Linked DNA regions of Diceros bicornis minor. Each later gene encodes a partner of the first gene's protein in a complex. Links are inferred from orthologs where the notes say so. Each region holds a gene or a part of one and is shown on either strand. Other genes may lie near its edges.

Region 1 (7,234 bases):
GAAGTGGGGTTACAGAGGGAGTGGGGGCACACTCTCTTGCAAGAAGGGACTTGGGACTTTCCCTCTGCTTTTGTAGGACTGAAAAACTTTGACACTTCCTCCCTCCGTAATTTCTGGAGGGCTTGGTGCCCACACAGCCCACATCCCTGAGCATGGCTTCTTCCTGCTTCTCCACACACCTGTGGTTCCACTGGGAGGGCAGCTGTTCCCTGTGTGTCTGTTGAGGCCCAGCAACTGTGAGGCACCACCAGGCAGGTGTCCTCCATCTGTTTCTGAGTCCAGGATTCGTGTGTTTTTCAAGGGCCAGTGGAAGTGCTGAGATCTAAAAGCACGCTGACTGGGGGTCCGGCCCGGTGGCCTAGCGGTTAAGTTCGCGCGTTCCTCTTCGGTGGCCCCGGGTTTGCCGGTTTGGATGCTCGGTGCGGACCTACTCACCTCTCATCAAACCATGTTGAGGAGGGGTCCCACATAGAAGAGCTACAGCTCTACGACTATGATACACAACTATGTACTGGGGCTTTGGGGAGAAAAAAACAAAAAGAGGAAGATTGGCAACAGATGTTAGCTCAGGGCCAGTCTTCCTCAAAAAAAAGAAAAATTAAAAAAAATAAATAAGAGCATGCTGATTGGTGCCAAAGCCTGAAAATAAACTTCAAAATAAAATTAATAAGCTTTATCAAATGGCTACAAAATTTAACATTAAATTGAAAATCTACAACTCAATTCTCTTGTTGCTGTATATAAATATTATGAAGTTGAAATCATAAGAACAAAATAATTTATTGTGATGAAATTCAGAATTATTAAAAATTCTGAGTTTCAGTTTCTTGACAGCACAAGTGGTTGAGTGTGGCTTGGTGACTGAACTCCCCAGGGGACGGCTGTTGTGTGAGGCTGCCAGTGACGATGCTTTGATTCCTGTGCCCAGCCCAGGGGTGGTGAAGCGTGCAGAGCGGGGAGCGGACAGCACGCCTGCCCCAGGCGGCAGAGCTGGCGCTGGAGTCTGCCATCCGCCCTGTGAGGCTCTGAGTCGTTGGGGTGAGAGTGGAGTGTGTTTACCGCAGGGTGTGGGTGTGAATCTCATGCTGGGACCTGGGTCCTGCCCCAGATGCATCTGAGTTCCGATTAGGGCGCCGGTGGGCTCCGACCGTAGTTTGTGTTCTGTGCTATCATTCGCAAGCTGTGTGTCTCGGGCCGTCCCTGTGTCCCTGCGTGTTCTGTTTTGCCTACATATGACGTGTGTTTGAAGTTGTCCTACTTTGACCTAAATACTCGCTCATATAACACGTGTCCTCTGCTGTCACATGTGTCCACGTGTGACACATATGTTCTGTGTCTTACTCTGGCTGCTCAGGGGTCAAGAGAGGCCTAGACCATTTCCGCTCAGGAGTCAAGAGGCGTCAGCCCCCTTTGTGGGTGCCCTCCAGTGTCCAGGGCTGGGCTGCTGCCACCCCCAAGGAGTGTAGTCAGCATCCTGGCCTGGCTACCCATCAGCCAGGTGACTAAGCCTGTCCTTCAGCTGAGACTGTGCCTGTGAGGGGCCAGGTATCGGCCTCCAGCTGTCCTGTGCCGGCTCTGTCAGATGCACTCTCACAGGGTCTCTGTCCAGACCGTAACTCACGTCCAGCCTCAAAGCCACCTCATGGCCCATCCCTTTCCCCAGCTGAGGCCTGCTGGGCTGGGAGGCGACTAAAGGCCAGTATGAAAAAGCCCTCTCGGCTGGCGAGCAGGTGGAGGCACAGGCAACTGGGTCAGGAGGGACTGAGGTTGGCTGGTCAGGCCTGGGGGAGCCCAGCTCGGGGAGGCTACAGGAGGCCGAGCCTCCCTGGGTTCCTGCCCCTGCTGGGCTCCTGAGGTCAGCAGGAGGTGCTTTGAGCTTTGTCTGCAGAGTATGGTGCACGCGTCTGTTCCCTGGGCGTCTGGGGGCCTTGATCTGTGTGTTTTCCTGTTCTCTTGTGTCTACTCACGTGCCTCACGTGCACCTGTGTGTGTGTGTGTGCACACGTGTTTGTGCGTCCCTGTGAGTGTCTGTGCATTTCTGCGTGTGCACCCATGTCTGTGTGTCTACCCGTGTGCCTGCTTGGGCATCTTTATGTTTGTTTGCGGGCATGTGAGTCTGTGTGTCCTGAGTGTCTCTGGGGACATGCCCTGTGTCTCCACACGCGTCCCTGAGTAGGCTGCAGCGAAGATGCAGAGATAAGTCCTGGGGGACAGCTTGGGATGCTGAGTCCTGGGGCATCTGCCTGCCCTGTCCCCTCCTGATTCACCAGGTATCCTAGCGACGCTGCTCCAGGTCGCCTAGCAACCAGGTCCCCATCCTTGGAGACGGATGCTCTGAGAAGGGTCTGGGCTGTGTGGGTAGGGCCCGTGCAGGAAGAATGACCCCAGGACTAGGTGGAGTTGGCGACTCAGCTCAGGGGTCACCCACATGGTTTGTGACTTCAGGCTGGGAAGGAGGCAGCTCCATGGGAGCTGTTCAGCTGCGTGGGTGCTGGGGGCCCAGGCTGTGAAGGAATGAGGCTCAGATGTTGCTCTGGGACCCAGCTGTGGCAGAGACGCCCTTGGTGTGTCTCGGTGCCAGACAAACCTGAGTTTGAGCCCTGTCTCTGCCATTTTGACAGGTGGCTTCACACCTCTGAGGCTTAATGCTCTTGTCTGCACAAAAGTGGTGCTGATGGCAATGGCCAGATCCAGTGGGGATGGGTGATCATGTTCATGATGGGCGTGGTGCACAGTAGGCATATGAGGCACACAGTGGGCATGCAGGGTGCACAGCAGAGTCCTGGCGTCCTCTTGTTTACAACAAGGCTTTGGTCTGCTCAGAGCTGGCCATGCAGGGGCCCTGCCACGTGTCCACCCACCTGCTGGCGCATTGTGGCTCAGCTGAGGAGCCTGGCTGAGGGGCGCTGTTCTGGACACAGGATGCCAACCGAGGCTGGTCTGAGTTCGTCCAAGGCCGTGTGTCTGTGTGGGAGCTGTGGCCCCATGTCTGCGTGTCCTGTGTGTGTCTCCCCGAGACTCTGTCCCAGGTGTTGTATTCTGTTTCTTTCCGTGTCTTTGTGTGAGTTCCCATGTGCCTGTCCCTGAGTCCCTGTGTGTCCTTGTGTGTGCCTGTTCTTGTGTCTGAGTTCCTGTGTGCATCTCTGTCACTGTGTCTGAGCCAGTCTCTGTCCGGGCTCTGTGAGTCTAAGCCTCTCTCTGTCATTCATCACTAGGTGTGTGCCCTGGTCTTGCGTCTGTCTCCATCTAGCGTGGGCCCTGGTGACCCCCCTTCCCTGTGGCCCCCTCCTCCAGCCTGTGTGGCGCCTCCCCTTCTGGAGCTGCAGCCTCCTCCCCTCCCCCAGCTCTGCGCTAGGCTGCTGCGTCTAGTCTACTAGTCTACTGAGAAGGAGCAGCTGCCACCGCCGCTGCCACCGTCGCCCCATCCAGACGGGGGGCTGAGGCGGGGAGGGGGTCCCAGCCCTGCTCTGCCATCCAGCCAAGGGTTAGGGTCTCCAGTGTCTGGCTCCCGGGAGGTTGCAGAGGTAAGGCTTGAGTTGCTGGGGGTCGGGTGTGGGGGTGACCTGCAGACAGCCTGCGGCTCTCCGGCAGGATTGCGGAGGGACAGGAGGCGGCCGTGCGCTCGGCCACCCTGTGTTCTGTCCCAGGTGTTTCTGGGCACGTCTTAGCCCCTTTTGTGCCTGCGTGTGCCTGAGGGCATGTTTGGGCATCTGTGTGTGTGTGTGCACCCATGTGCCCCTGCGCCTGTGAGCACACGGGTGGCTGCGTGTCCCTGAGTCCCTGTGGGTGGACACGTGTCCTGGTGTGTAACTACGTCCACACATCCCATGTGGGAGTCTGCAAGGCAGATGAGACTGTGTCCCTGTGTGTACGTACGTGCCTCTGTGTTTGTGTGTCCCTGTCTGTACATACATGTCTGCATGTCTCCACGAGTCGCTGTGTGTGTGTGCGTGTGCCTGTGTTCCTGTGTGTGTGCCCGTGTGTGCCTGTGTGTCCCTGCATATACAGGCGTGTCTCTGTGCTTTGCGTGTCCCTGTGTGTGCATGTGTCCCTGTGTGTGTGTGCATGTGTCCCTCTGTGTCTGCGGCTGCCCACGGGCATCCATGTGCCTGCTGGACCACGCACACTGTGCGCGGAGGCCGTGGTGGGGTGGGTGTTGGGTCTGCAGTCATATGTCCCTGTGCCCTCCCAGGTACCGAGTGGCTTCCCACGCAGGGCAGCAGCATGGAGTCCCTCTTCCCTGCCCCGTTCTGGGAGGTCCTCTATGGCAGCCACCTGCAGGGCAACCTGTCCCTCCTGAGCCCCAACCGCAGCCTGCTGCCCCCCCACCTGCTGCTCAACGCCAGCCACGGCGCCTTCCTGCCCCTCGGGCTCAAGGTCACCATCATGGGGCTCTACCTGGCCGTGTGTGTCGGGGGGCTGCTGGGGAACTGCCTCGTCATGTATGTCATCCTCAGGTAGGCTGGGCCCCGCTGAGGTCCCTGCCTGGTGAGACCCACAAGGCTGCAGAGGGAAAACCGGCAGGGGCTGTTCTGGCTGGGCTGGCTGGTGGGGATTTCCTGTTCCCCCATGCAGTTCCTGGTCGTCCTGACATGGGGCAGGGTCAGTCCTGAGGCCCAGGAAACTCAGCTCCTCGGGGTGGGGGCACCAGACTAGAGGGAGAGGAGGAGGAGGGGACCAGCCCTGCCTGCCCAGGCTTGGCGGGGAGGAGGGCGCAGCTCTGTCCCAGACGGAACATTACCCTTACTCCTGACAGATGACACTCCCTGGTCTGAGCCATGGGCCCGGCTCCCAGCCAAGCCGCTGTGTGAGGACCTCGTGGGTCCCACAGCAGCCCCGAGAAGCAGCTCGTCAGCCCATTCCAGGGCTGGTGCTGGGCGGATGCCGGAAGCCCCTTCCCTCCGGCTCCAGGGCTCCGGGTTCACAGCTGGTGTCTGGGCCCACGCCAGCGTCTGTCAGTGCTCAGAGTGGGCTGCGGGGCGAGGAGATGTCACAGGGGAACAGCGTGGGGGAGTGTGAGGACAGAGTGAGGACAGTGTGGGGACAGTGTGGAGGTTCAGCGTGGGGGCACAGTGTGGGTGGACAATGTGGGGACAGTGTGGTGGGGACAGTGTGGAGGTTCAGTGTTGGGGCACAGTGTGGGTGGACAATGTGGGGATAGTGTGGTGGGGACAGTGTGGGGACAGTGTGGGGACAGTGTGGGGGGACAGTGTGGTGGGGACAGTGTGGGGACAGTGTGGTGACAGTGTGGGGGGACAGTGTGGGGGGGCAGTGTGGGGACAGTGTGGGGACAGTGTGGAGGGACAGTGTAGAGGGACAGTGTGGGGACAGTGTGGAGAGACAGTGTAGAGGGACAGTGTGGGGACAGTGTGGTGGGGACAGTGTGGGGACAGTGTGGGGTGACAGTGTGGGGACAGTGTGGGGACAGTGTGGAGGGACAGTGTGGGGGGACTGTGTGGGGACAGTGTGGAGGGACAGTGTACAGGGACAGTGTGGGGACAGTGTGGAGGGACAGTGTGGGGGCAGTGTGGTAGGGACAGTGTGGGGACAGTGTGGGGACAGTGTGGGACAGTGTGGGGGGACAGTGTGGGGACAGTGTGGAGGGTAGGTGTAGAGGGACAATGTGGGGACAGTGTGGAGGGACAGTGTAGAGGGACAGTGTGGGGACAGTGTGGAGGGACAGTGTAGAGGGACAGTGTGGAGACAGTGTGGAGGGACAGTGGGGACAGTGTGGGGACAGTGTAGAGGGACAGTGTGGGGACAGTGTAGAGGGACAATGTGGGGAACAGTGTGGGGACAGTGTAGAGGGACAGTGTGAGGACAGTGTGGAGGATAGCATGAGGACAGTGTGGGGGACAGTGTGTGGGGACGGCATGGGGACAGTGTGGGGACAGTGTGGGTGGAGAGTATGGGGACAGCATGGGGGCAGTGTGGGGATGTGCACGTGTGCATGTGCATACCTGCATGTGTGAGTGTGCACATACGTGTGTACATGCATGTGAGCGTGCACGCGCATATGTGTGTACACGTAAGTGTGAGTGTGCACATGCACGCTGTACATGTATGTGTGAGCATGCACCCGTATGTGTGCATGGTGTGTGTGTTGGTGTGTGTGGGGTGCATGCTCAGGCAAGGGGCTGGGAGGAGCAGCTGCCCCCTCCCCAGTGCTGACCCTCAGGGGACTGGACTCACACGCCCCTTCGTGGCTGGAGGAGGTGTTGTGGGTGAGAAGTGCAGCAGTCTGGATGGTCCGTCCGTCCTTCTTGTTGTTAGTGCTTCTCCTCTGTGTCTCCCTCGCTGGGGCATCCCAGCTCCCAGAGCCACGTCCTGGATTTCAGCAGACAAGGAAGGTTGTCTTGCCACAGGCAGCCCCCAGAGAGAGGGATGTGCAGGAACTGTTGTGACTGCGCTGGCCCGAGAGGCAGCACAGTACACTCTGAGCCAGCGGACTGGGGTGGGCTCCCTCAGAATTCAGAAACACCCAGTTCCAAACCCTGCTCTTTTTTAAAGACTGTTTTTTTAGAGCAGTTTTATTTAAGTTCACAGCAAAATTGACAGGAAGGTACAGAGATTTCCCATATACCCTCTGCCCCCACACATGCATAGCCTCCCCCATTACCAATATCCCCCACCAGATGGTGCATTTGTCATAATTGATGAACCTACATTAACACATCTTATCACCCGGAGTCTGTAGTTTACAGTAGGGGTCATTCTTTGTGTTGTACATTGTGTGGGTTTGCACAAATGTATGAGGACATGTGTCCATCACTATAGTATCACACAGAGTAGTTTCACTACCCTAAAAATCCCCTGTGCTCCGCCTATTCATCACTCCCCACCTCTCTACCCCTGGCAACCACTCATCTTTTTACTGTCTCCATAGTTTTGCCTTTTCCAGAGTGGCGTATAGTTAGAATGATGCAGTGCATAGCCTTTTCAGACTGGCTTCTTTCACTGAGTGATGTGCGTTTAAGGTTCCTCCATGTCTTTTCATGGCTGGACAGCTCATTCTTTTTAGCGCTGAATAATATTCCATTGTCTGGATGGACCACAGTTTATTTGTCCATCTACCCACTGAAGGACATTTTGGTTGCTTCCAAGTTTTGGCAATTGTGAGTAAAGCTGCTATAAATATCCATGTGCAGGTTTTTGTGTGGACATAAGTTTTCACCTCCTCTGGGTAAATACCAAGGAGTGCAATTGCTGGATCGTATGGTAAGAGTCTGTGTAG
Region 2 (7,876 bases), on another chromosome or scaffold:
TTCATCTCAAAAAGGGGGATAATATTAACCCTAGATATAGGGTTGTATATGAATATAAAAATCTTTTGTAACCTATAAAGAACAAAATCTACACATGTGGTTGATGAGAAGGATGGGGATGCATATGCTTCCAGCAGGAAGGCTGCCCCTCTTCCCTTTGCCACTAAAAGCACCAAAATTACAGGCTTTCTCGTAGGTCATAAGACAAAACTCAATTAACTTTTAGCTTCAGCTAAAGCTTCATACGTAATTCTCCAAACAGATAAGCGACTAATTATACTGCCCTTAGAAGCAAGATTGCATGCAAATAGATTGAGGCTGAAACACAGTAGTATTTTATCTTTATAAACAGTGAGGTACAATTAAATTTATGAGGTGTCATTACCAAAATAAAAGGTTAATTAAACGTTTCTTTATTCAATACGAGATGTCCAGATTATAGAAGTGTTAGCTGAACTTGGTTCACCTAGTGAAATACAAGCCATAAAATTCAAACATATTCAGGGAAGTTTTATTTACTGATGGTCAGTATGGTACAATAAACAACAACAACAAAAACCTGTTGTTACCCCCATTTTGCAGTTGAGAAGACTGAAGCTCTCAGAGGTGAAATACTTACCCAAAGTCACACAGGTACAAAGTGTAAAGATTAATCATAAATATAACTCATGAATTGACTAATTACTCACTTTCATCTTACTTGGCATTAACTTACAGACAGAGCTACAAAAAAACCACATAGGTGCTGTCAACACATCTTAAAAATGAAAAACTTTTATTGAGTTTTCAATAAAGTTCAAAATCTAACTTAACCCAGAACACAGTTGTACTAGGTGTTGTGAGGAGTACCCAAAAGTATAAAATGTTGTCCCTTCTTAAGGATAATTACATCTATTTTGAGCTTTCATTTATATTAATCTCTAAATATCACAAACCACCTGTGATATAGGACTGTGCTGTCATTCCCATTTTAAGGATTCTTTGAACTGCAAAGGAGAATGAATGGCGTTGAGTATGGATGGTTTTTAAATAATAGGTGGGGTCACTTGTTAAAAGTGAGGGGTGGGATCTAGAGGGGTAGGGAGGTTGGAGACTAGAAGAGAGGTGTACCACGGACCAGCAGGGAGGGCCGGGCGAAGGTCAGGTAGATCTGACGAAGTTTCCCATAGCGCCAAACCGAAGAAGGCCCACACTTGACATGCAGGAAGGCTACCAAATGGAACATGTGCCAAACGCCCCAGGAGCTCATTTTCTTTCTTCACCTCACCCTAAAAACCCATTTACCCAGAATTTGAGATAACAAATATCAGTCATTCCACCAAACACTTCCCGAATGTGCAAGTTGCCCCGGTTAATGAAGTTCATGAAAAACCTCAGCCAGAGAGCATTTCATTAACATCTGTCACAACATATCACCTCAGCCTATGCAAACATTATGGATTGCAATTTTGTATTAGGAAGGAAAGGAAACAGTCCCTTTTCTCCTCTCCTTCCCTTTCTTCTATGACATGCAGGCACTGCCATCATGTGGCCATAAAGAGTACAGCCATGCCATTCTGGACAAATTCTACAAAAATGTCTCCCGACTAGGAAGACTGAAATTTAGTAGAATAAGAAATGTAAAGGGAATTCTCAATTCAAAGAAAAGACATATTCATGTAGTCCTCAATTTAAGACTTTTGCTTATATGATGGCTGTTTGGAATTCAAGATACATTTTCTCTTCAAAAGAACCCGTAAGTGGTGATGAGCTTCCATAGCTTGTCTACCAATACCCATTTAACCTGTACAAACTCAGCATATAACACTATTCCAACCATGCCTCACGGCCATTTGTAACATGAGGTTCCAGCTTAGGATGGCATCTTGCCTTGCTCTGGAACAAAACTAGTTCATATGCCTCTCCCCTCAAACTGAACAATTAGCTAAGAGATGCTTTGTCAGTAACACAGGTCCTGAAGTGGCTCCTGTGCTGTGAGCATCCTGGGCCCCCAATGAGGCAGATGATCCTAGAAACTCCTCAAGTCGACACTGGCTAAGGAGAAGGAAGAGGGCTCCTGAGATACTCCACTGTCATTTATCAAACATTTTTTAGCATCTCCTAAGTGCCTGGCCCTGTGCTGGATGCTAGAAAGATAGAGGACCATAGAATATAATCTCTGCCCTTCAGGAAGTCACAGTCCAGCAGGAGAAATGGACACATAAGTCCAAGCTTACAGTGTAGTGTGGTAAGTGCCATGCAAGAGACAATGATAGTACTATAGCATGAAGGCTACGTGCTGGGTTCTTGCTTTTCTATAGTACTTGTTTTGTGCCAGGTGCTATTTTAACTGCTTACCAACACTAACCCATTAATTGTCATATGAGATAGGTACACCATTATTGCCCCATTTTTATAGATTAGAAACTGAGATGTTGAATTGCAGACCTGGGATGTGAACCCAGGCAGTCTGTAGTGATGAGCAGATGAGAAAACGCGAAACACAACAACTCTGCGACATAGGTCTGTTGTGCCTGGTTGACAGACAGGCCTCTGAGGCTCACTTGCTTCCCACTATGATGTGCTGTGTTGCGGTGCCACAGAAGCAGAGGAGATTCTTCTAACTCAGACCAGGGTTGGCGATGGCTTCCCAGAGGGGCTAAGTCTTGAGGTGTATATGAAGTATGAGTTGGAGACACGTGTTCTGGGCAGAAGGAACAGCAAGTGCCAAGAAGGCATTTCACAAAGGACCCAATAGAGTTGGGAACAATATGTGATTCACTAGGACTAGGGGAGGTACAAGGGTGAGTGACTGGAGATGAAACTAGAGAAGTGGGCAGGAGCAGTCCCAATGGGGGTTATAGAATTACTTTAAGTGTGAAGTGACATCATCCAATTTGGAGATGGCTTGGTGGGAGGCCAGACCATTAGGCAGACTAATTAGGAGGCTATCACAGTAACCAAGGCAGTAAATCTCAACTAAGGTACTGGCCCTCAAGATAGAGAAGAAAAACTGCATTGGAGATATACTCATTTGCATAGATACTTGTGTTCATTAGCCCAGGACATCCTATCACCTGTAGGGTAAAGCTCAAACCCTTTAGGATGGAAACCAGACCCTGTTCCTCTGGACTGAGCCTCTCTTTCGGCAGGGTGCTTCCCTCAGGGAGTGTGGGCAGGTGGCCCCAGCACAACAGCCTGCTCCCTATCCCCTCACAGGCTCTGGTCCTGACTCTTCTGTGCCTTTGAAAAGACTGCTTCCTGGGTCTCTCAGACGCCCCTTTCTTTATTCTCTTGGCAAACTCTCAATCATCATTCAAAACCCATCTCAAATGTTGCCTCATTGACTTAACAAATATTGATTGAGCATCTCTTAGTCAACACCCTCTTGGTATGAAATGCTTGGATGATGCACAAAAAGAGCTGGGGTAGTTTCTCAACATGGCCATCGGGTGACTTCAACTGCAGCATCCCCTTCCTTCTCCTACTGCCTTGCTCCCTTTCACATCCATCTTCTACCAGTGCTTCTCAAACTTGAGCGTGTGTACGAATCACCTGAGGAACCTGCAAAAAGCGCAGATCTAGAATCAGTGGTTCTGGGGTAGGGCCTGAAAGTCTGCATTTCTAGCAAGATCCCAGGTGATGCTGATGCTGCTGGTCGCAGACTGCATTTAAATAGCAAGGCTTCTACATTTTTTCAGTATAGTCTGGTGAAAAGGCAATTATTTTTGTTTTCCTACACTGAACTCTTTATTACGGTAAAATTTACATACAGTGAAATGCACAGAATTTATATGTACAATTCAATGGTTTTTGGCAAATGTATACACCCCCGTGACCTAAAGGTCAAACAAGAACATTCACAACATTTCTAGAAAGTTCACTTGTTCCCCTTTCCACTTAATCCTCTCAGTAAAGATGGTTCTACAGGGACCCTAAATGATGCAGTCCAAGGAAATAGCTTTCTGATTCAGGAGGCTTGATCACAGGATCAGTTTAAAGAGGAACAGGAAAAACTGCACATCTTTCAGGCAATCCTACATAAAGAATAGAAACTACTGATATAACTAATAATCATTGGAGCTATCATCTTAGAATAGTATCTGTGTTCATTTTTCAATAAATAACTCCACATGCCTGGTCCTGTTTTTCACAGAATAGCAAGGTGAACATAGCATTGGCCCTGTGCTCAGGAAGCGGGATCATGTCTAGCGGGGAAATGGACAAGGAACCTGGCAGAAGCTTCCTGGAAGAGCAGATTCTGAGACATGGGGCATTCCTGGCCAGGGCTGGGCAGGATGACATGAGGTACACGAGTCACTCATAAATCACTCATTTGACACATCTCACTCTTGCAAAACTTCCCTTGCAGATCTCATCTCATCTTTGCAACAGCCCTGTGACAAGGCAGGGACCACTATTCCCCTTTTATAGCTAGGAGAATTCAGGCTTGGAGAGGTTGTCACACACTGGTAAGCTGCAAAGTGAGGCTTTTAGCTCCCTGGAAGTGCTCAGGCACATTGAGGGCAGCTGGGTGGCAGCAATCACGGAGATGCTCTCCCCAGGAGCCCAGACACCAGCTCCTGCATGAACGTTAGTCCTGGCTGACAGGAGCGGGCCACCTGTGCTCTTGACAATCCACTTCCTCCTGGGAGGTAAACCTCAGGCCCTGGCGCTGTCCCCTCCAAAGAGTATCTTTCTTGCATCACCTGTGTGAGAGTCTCCAGCCCCTACTGGCCCCCACAGAATGGCTGTTCTAATTGCCACCCACCCTCACTTGTGTTTTAGCAACTGGATCCCAGCTCCTGCACCATGAAAATCCTGCTTTGTGACCTTCTGCTGCTCAGCCTCTTTTCCAGCGTGTCCAGCAGCTGTCAGAAGGACTGCCTGACCTGCAGAGAGAAGCTCCACCCAGCTCTTGACAGCTTCAATTTTGAGGTAGGTCCAGGAACGTCCCTGTCTTCTCCTCCCTCTCTCCCCCAGAGCAGATCCAGGATGAGAAACTAAGGCCTCGCCTAGAGGTCACGTGATTCACCTGGTGTCACCTGATCGGTAGGAAACAGATGTGGACTTGAGCATCCTCTGAATGCAAACCCTGTCATCTTTCCACTTTGCCACATGCAAATAAAGACCTGCCCATGCTGCCATTTTGTTCCCACTATTAAAATAATGCATACTCCTTTCAGAGAATTTGGCAAATTCACAGAAGTATAAAAAAAGAAAATTAAAATCACTTTTAATCTCACCAGAGAAAGAATCCTAGTTTTTTCACTTGCTATATTATATTAGGATAATTCTCCTGTGTTATTAAACATTATTTTAAGTAATTTCTTTCTATGAATACAGTATAATTTGTTTAACCACACCCCTCCCATTGAGTATGTACATTGCCCTCCATTTTTGATATTATAGATAATTCTGCAATAAATACCTAAATGCCTTCTTATATTTCAAATTTTGAATTTGAGGTGCAAATCCAACATCAAATTTCTTTTCAGTAAATAAGCTGCTTTCTCAACTGCTTTCATTTCAGTCTAAGTAGTTATTCTTCGCCTATCAAATCCAACAATTATTTTTTCTTTATAGTCCAATAACCTTCTTTCAAAAGATGCCATGTTTCAAACTCCTCAACCTTTAAAAACAACCAAAAGCAACTACTGTTCCTTAAGGCAAGTGTACAAATATAGAAACCAAGTATTCACGTTGGGCTAATGTGCTAACGATGAGCAGACACAGCCCTGACAGACCCAAACACCAAGCTCTTTCTGCGCTGGCTCTGTGGTCTTCCAGCCTGTTTTCTGCACAGTAATGACTGCCACATCATGAAGAGCATCCCCAGATAACCCATCCAAAGTGTATCTGTCCCTCTCATTCATCCATAGTGGTTCTTCCAAGCATCTTCTATGTGCTGAGCACTGGGCTAGGCCAGGGATCCAAAGATGAGCAGATGGATGGAGTTTGCAACTAGTGGGAGAGAGGAACCCACAATCCCTCTGCAAGAGAGTAATTACTGGGTGCTGGGGAAGCACAGGTAGTGGATCCCAACCTAGTCTAGAGGGGCAGAGGGGGCTTTTGGAGGAACTGAAGTCCCTAAGGAGACCTAAAGATGAGTGGGAGTGAAGAGGCATGCCCCCGGTGCCCCAGGCAGTGGAGAGAGGCATGGAGGGGGAGCACATGTGCAAATGCCTACAGGAGGGAGAGGAGCAGCGTTTAAGGAACTGAGAAAAGCTGAGTTTGGCTAAAGTACAGAAGGCCCTCACGCCTTTTCTGTGCAGCCCAAAGAAGTTTAAAAGTTCATCCAAAAAAAACACTTTCCTTGGCCTTAGTAAACAGAGCAGACAACTAGTTTACATGTAAACCAGTGAAGGAGCTGATTAAGCAAAAATATCACCATCACCACACTGTTAAGGTTCTCAGGTTGCAGCCTAGAGAAGACTGAAGGTTACGTACAATTCCTGAATCACTAGCTTTAACTGTAACTCTTTATCTCCCATTCAAAAAAGCATTAGGACTGAACCAGATATTTGTACACTCATGTCCATAGCAGCATTATTCACAATTTCCAAAAGGTGGAAACAACCCAAGTGTCCATCAATAATGAATGAATAAATAAACTGTGGTATGTATATACAGTGGAATATTATTCAGCCTTAAAAAGGAAGGAAATTCTGACATGTGTAACAAGATGGATGAACCTTGAAGACATTATGCTAAGTGAAATAAGCCAGTCACAGAAGGACAAATATTGTATGATTCCACTTATACGAGATTCCTAGAGTAGTCAAATTCATAGACAGAAAGTAGAATGGTGGTTGCCAAGGGCTGGGGGTTGGGGGAAATGGGGAGTTATTGTTTAATGAGAGTTTCAGTTCGGGAAGATAGAAAAGCCCAGAGATGGATGGTGGTGATGGTTGTGCGACAATGTGAATGTACTTAAACCACTGAACTGTACACTTAAAAATGGTTAAAATGGTAAATTTGATGTTACTTGTATTTTACAATAAAAAAGCATTAAGAACTTAACTGTAAGGATAACCCTGAGTCTGCTCTAATGTATTTTTACAAAGTAAATCATTCATGGATTTATGTGATCTCTTTGAAACAATTACCCCTGATTGTGAAGCACTAGTGGCCTTCCCAACTTCTTGGACATCATGACCTTGGGTTGCCTTGTACTGTGAAGATGGAGGCCAACAAGTACAAATTCTGTCCAGTCTCCTTACCGCCATCTCAGGGTCTGTCTTCATTCTCCCCACCTGCCTCCCGTCTGCGCTCCTGCCCCTTCTTCCTCCTCCTTCCCTTGTACCATTGATTTTCCTGCTGAGCCTTCTCCTTTTTTGCCCTCTCCCACTTGCTCTTTCCTTCCTTTCATTGTCATGTTTGAAAGATTGTGACTTTGACCCCCTCGTTGCTCTCTTGGAAGTCACCAGCAACTCTTAACCACCGAATCCAGGGGCCAATTTGCAGGCTTCCTCCTCTCGCCCCTCTCTTGGTGAACTTGCCTGGCTCTCTCTCCCATTCTGACTCTTCTTTTTCTGCCTCCTGCTGGGCTCCTGTTCCTCCTCCCACCCTCTAAACATAAGTGATCACCAAGATTCCCTGCTTCTAACCTCCATGTACTCTCTCCCTCTGAGATGCCATACCAGTATCCCAGGCCCTCCCCAGGCAGCACGGAACTCCCAAAAGTCCACTCCTCCCTTCCTCTCTGCTAGGCTCAAGCCACTTTCCACACTTCCCAGGAAATCCCGCCTTCCCTTCCTGGCCTTCCCTCTGCTCCAGGAACCAGCCCTGCCATCTTGTGCATGCCTCTCCCTCTTCCCTCGGCCAATAAATCCTACTCATGCCTCAAAACCCAGATTAAGTGTCACCTCTTACGAGAACACTTTGCTGATTCTCT

What was found. Proteins that work in one complex are often made in the same cells at the same time.
Region 2: the proteins of OPRL1 (region 1) and PNOC are in contact, whole or in part, in a cryo-EM structure (PDB 8F7X), measured with the Homo sapiens proteins. The link is inferred for Diceros bicornis minor from reciprocal best matches to the Homo sapiens genes OPRL1 and PNOC. Residues at the interface, in NP_000904.1 of Homo sapiens: Gln107, Asp110, Gly114, Phe115, Trp116, Val126, Ile127, Asp130, Tyr131, Met134, Gln192, Glu194, Ile198, Glu199, Cys200, Leu201, Val202, Ile219, Val279, Gln280, Val283, Gln286, Gln291, Pro292, Ser293, Val298, Leu301, Arg302, Thr305, Tyr309; in NP_006219.1 of Homo sapiens: Phe130, Gly131, Gly132, Phe133, Thr134, Gly135, Ala136, Arg137, Lys138, Ser139, Ala140, Arg141, Lys142, Leu143.

Annotation. Positions count from the first base shown.
Region 1 is NC_080758.1:162,329-169,562, reverse strand, and holds the start of OPRL1 (nociceptin receptor), read left to right. Parts: upstream 1-4,224; coding exon 4,225-4,457; exon of another isoform or gene 4,458-4,488; intron 4,489-7,234.
Region 2 is NC_080750.1:65,594,161-65,602,036, reverse strand, and holds the start of PNOC (prepronociceptin), read left to right. Parts: upstream 1-4,791; coding exon 4,792-4,917; intron 4,918-7,876.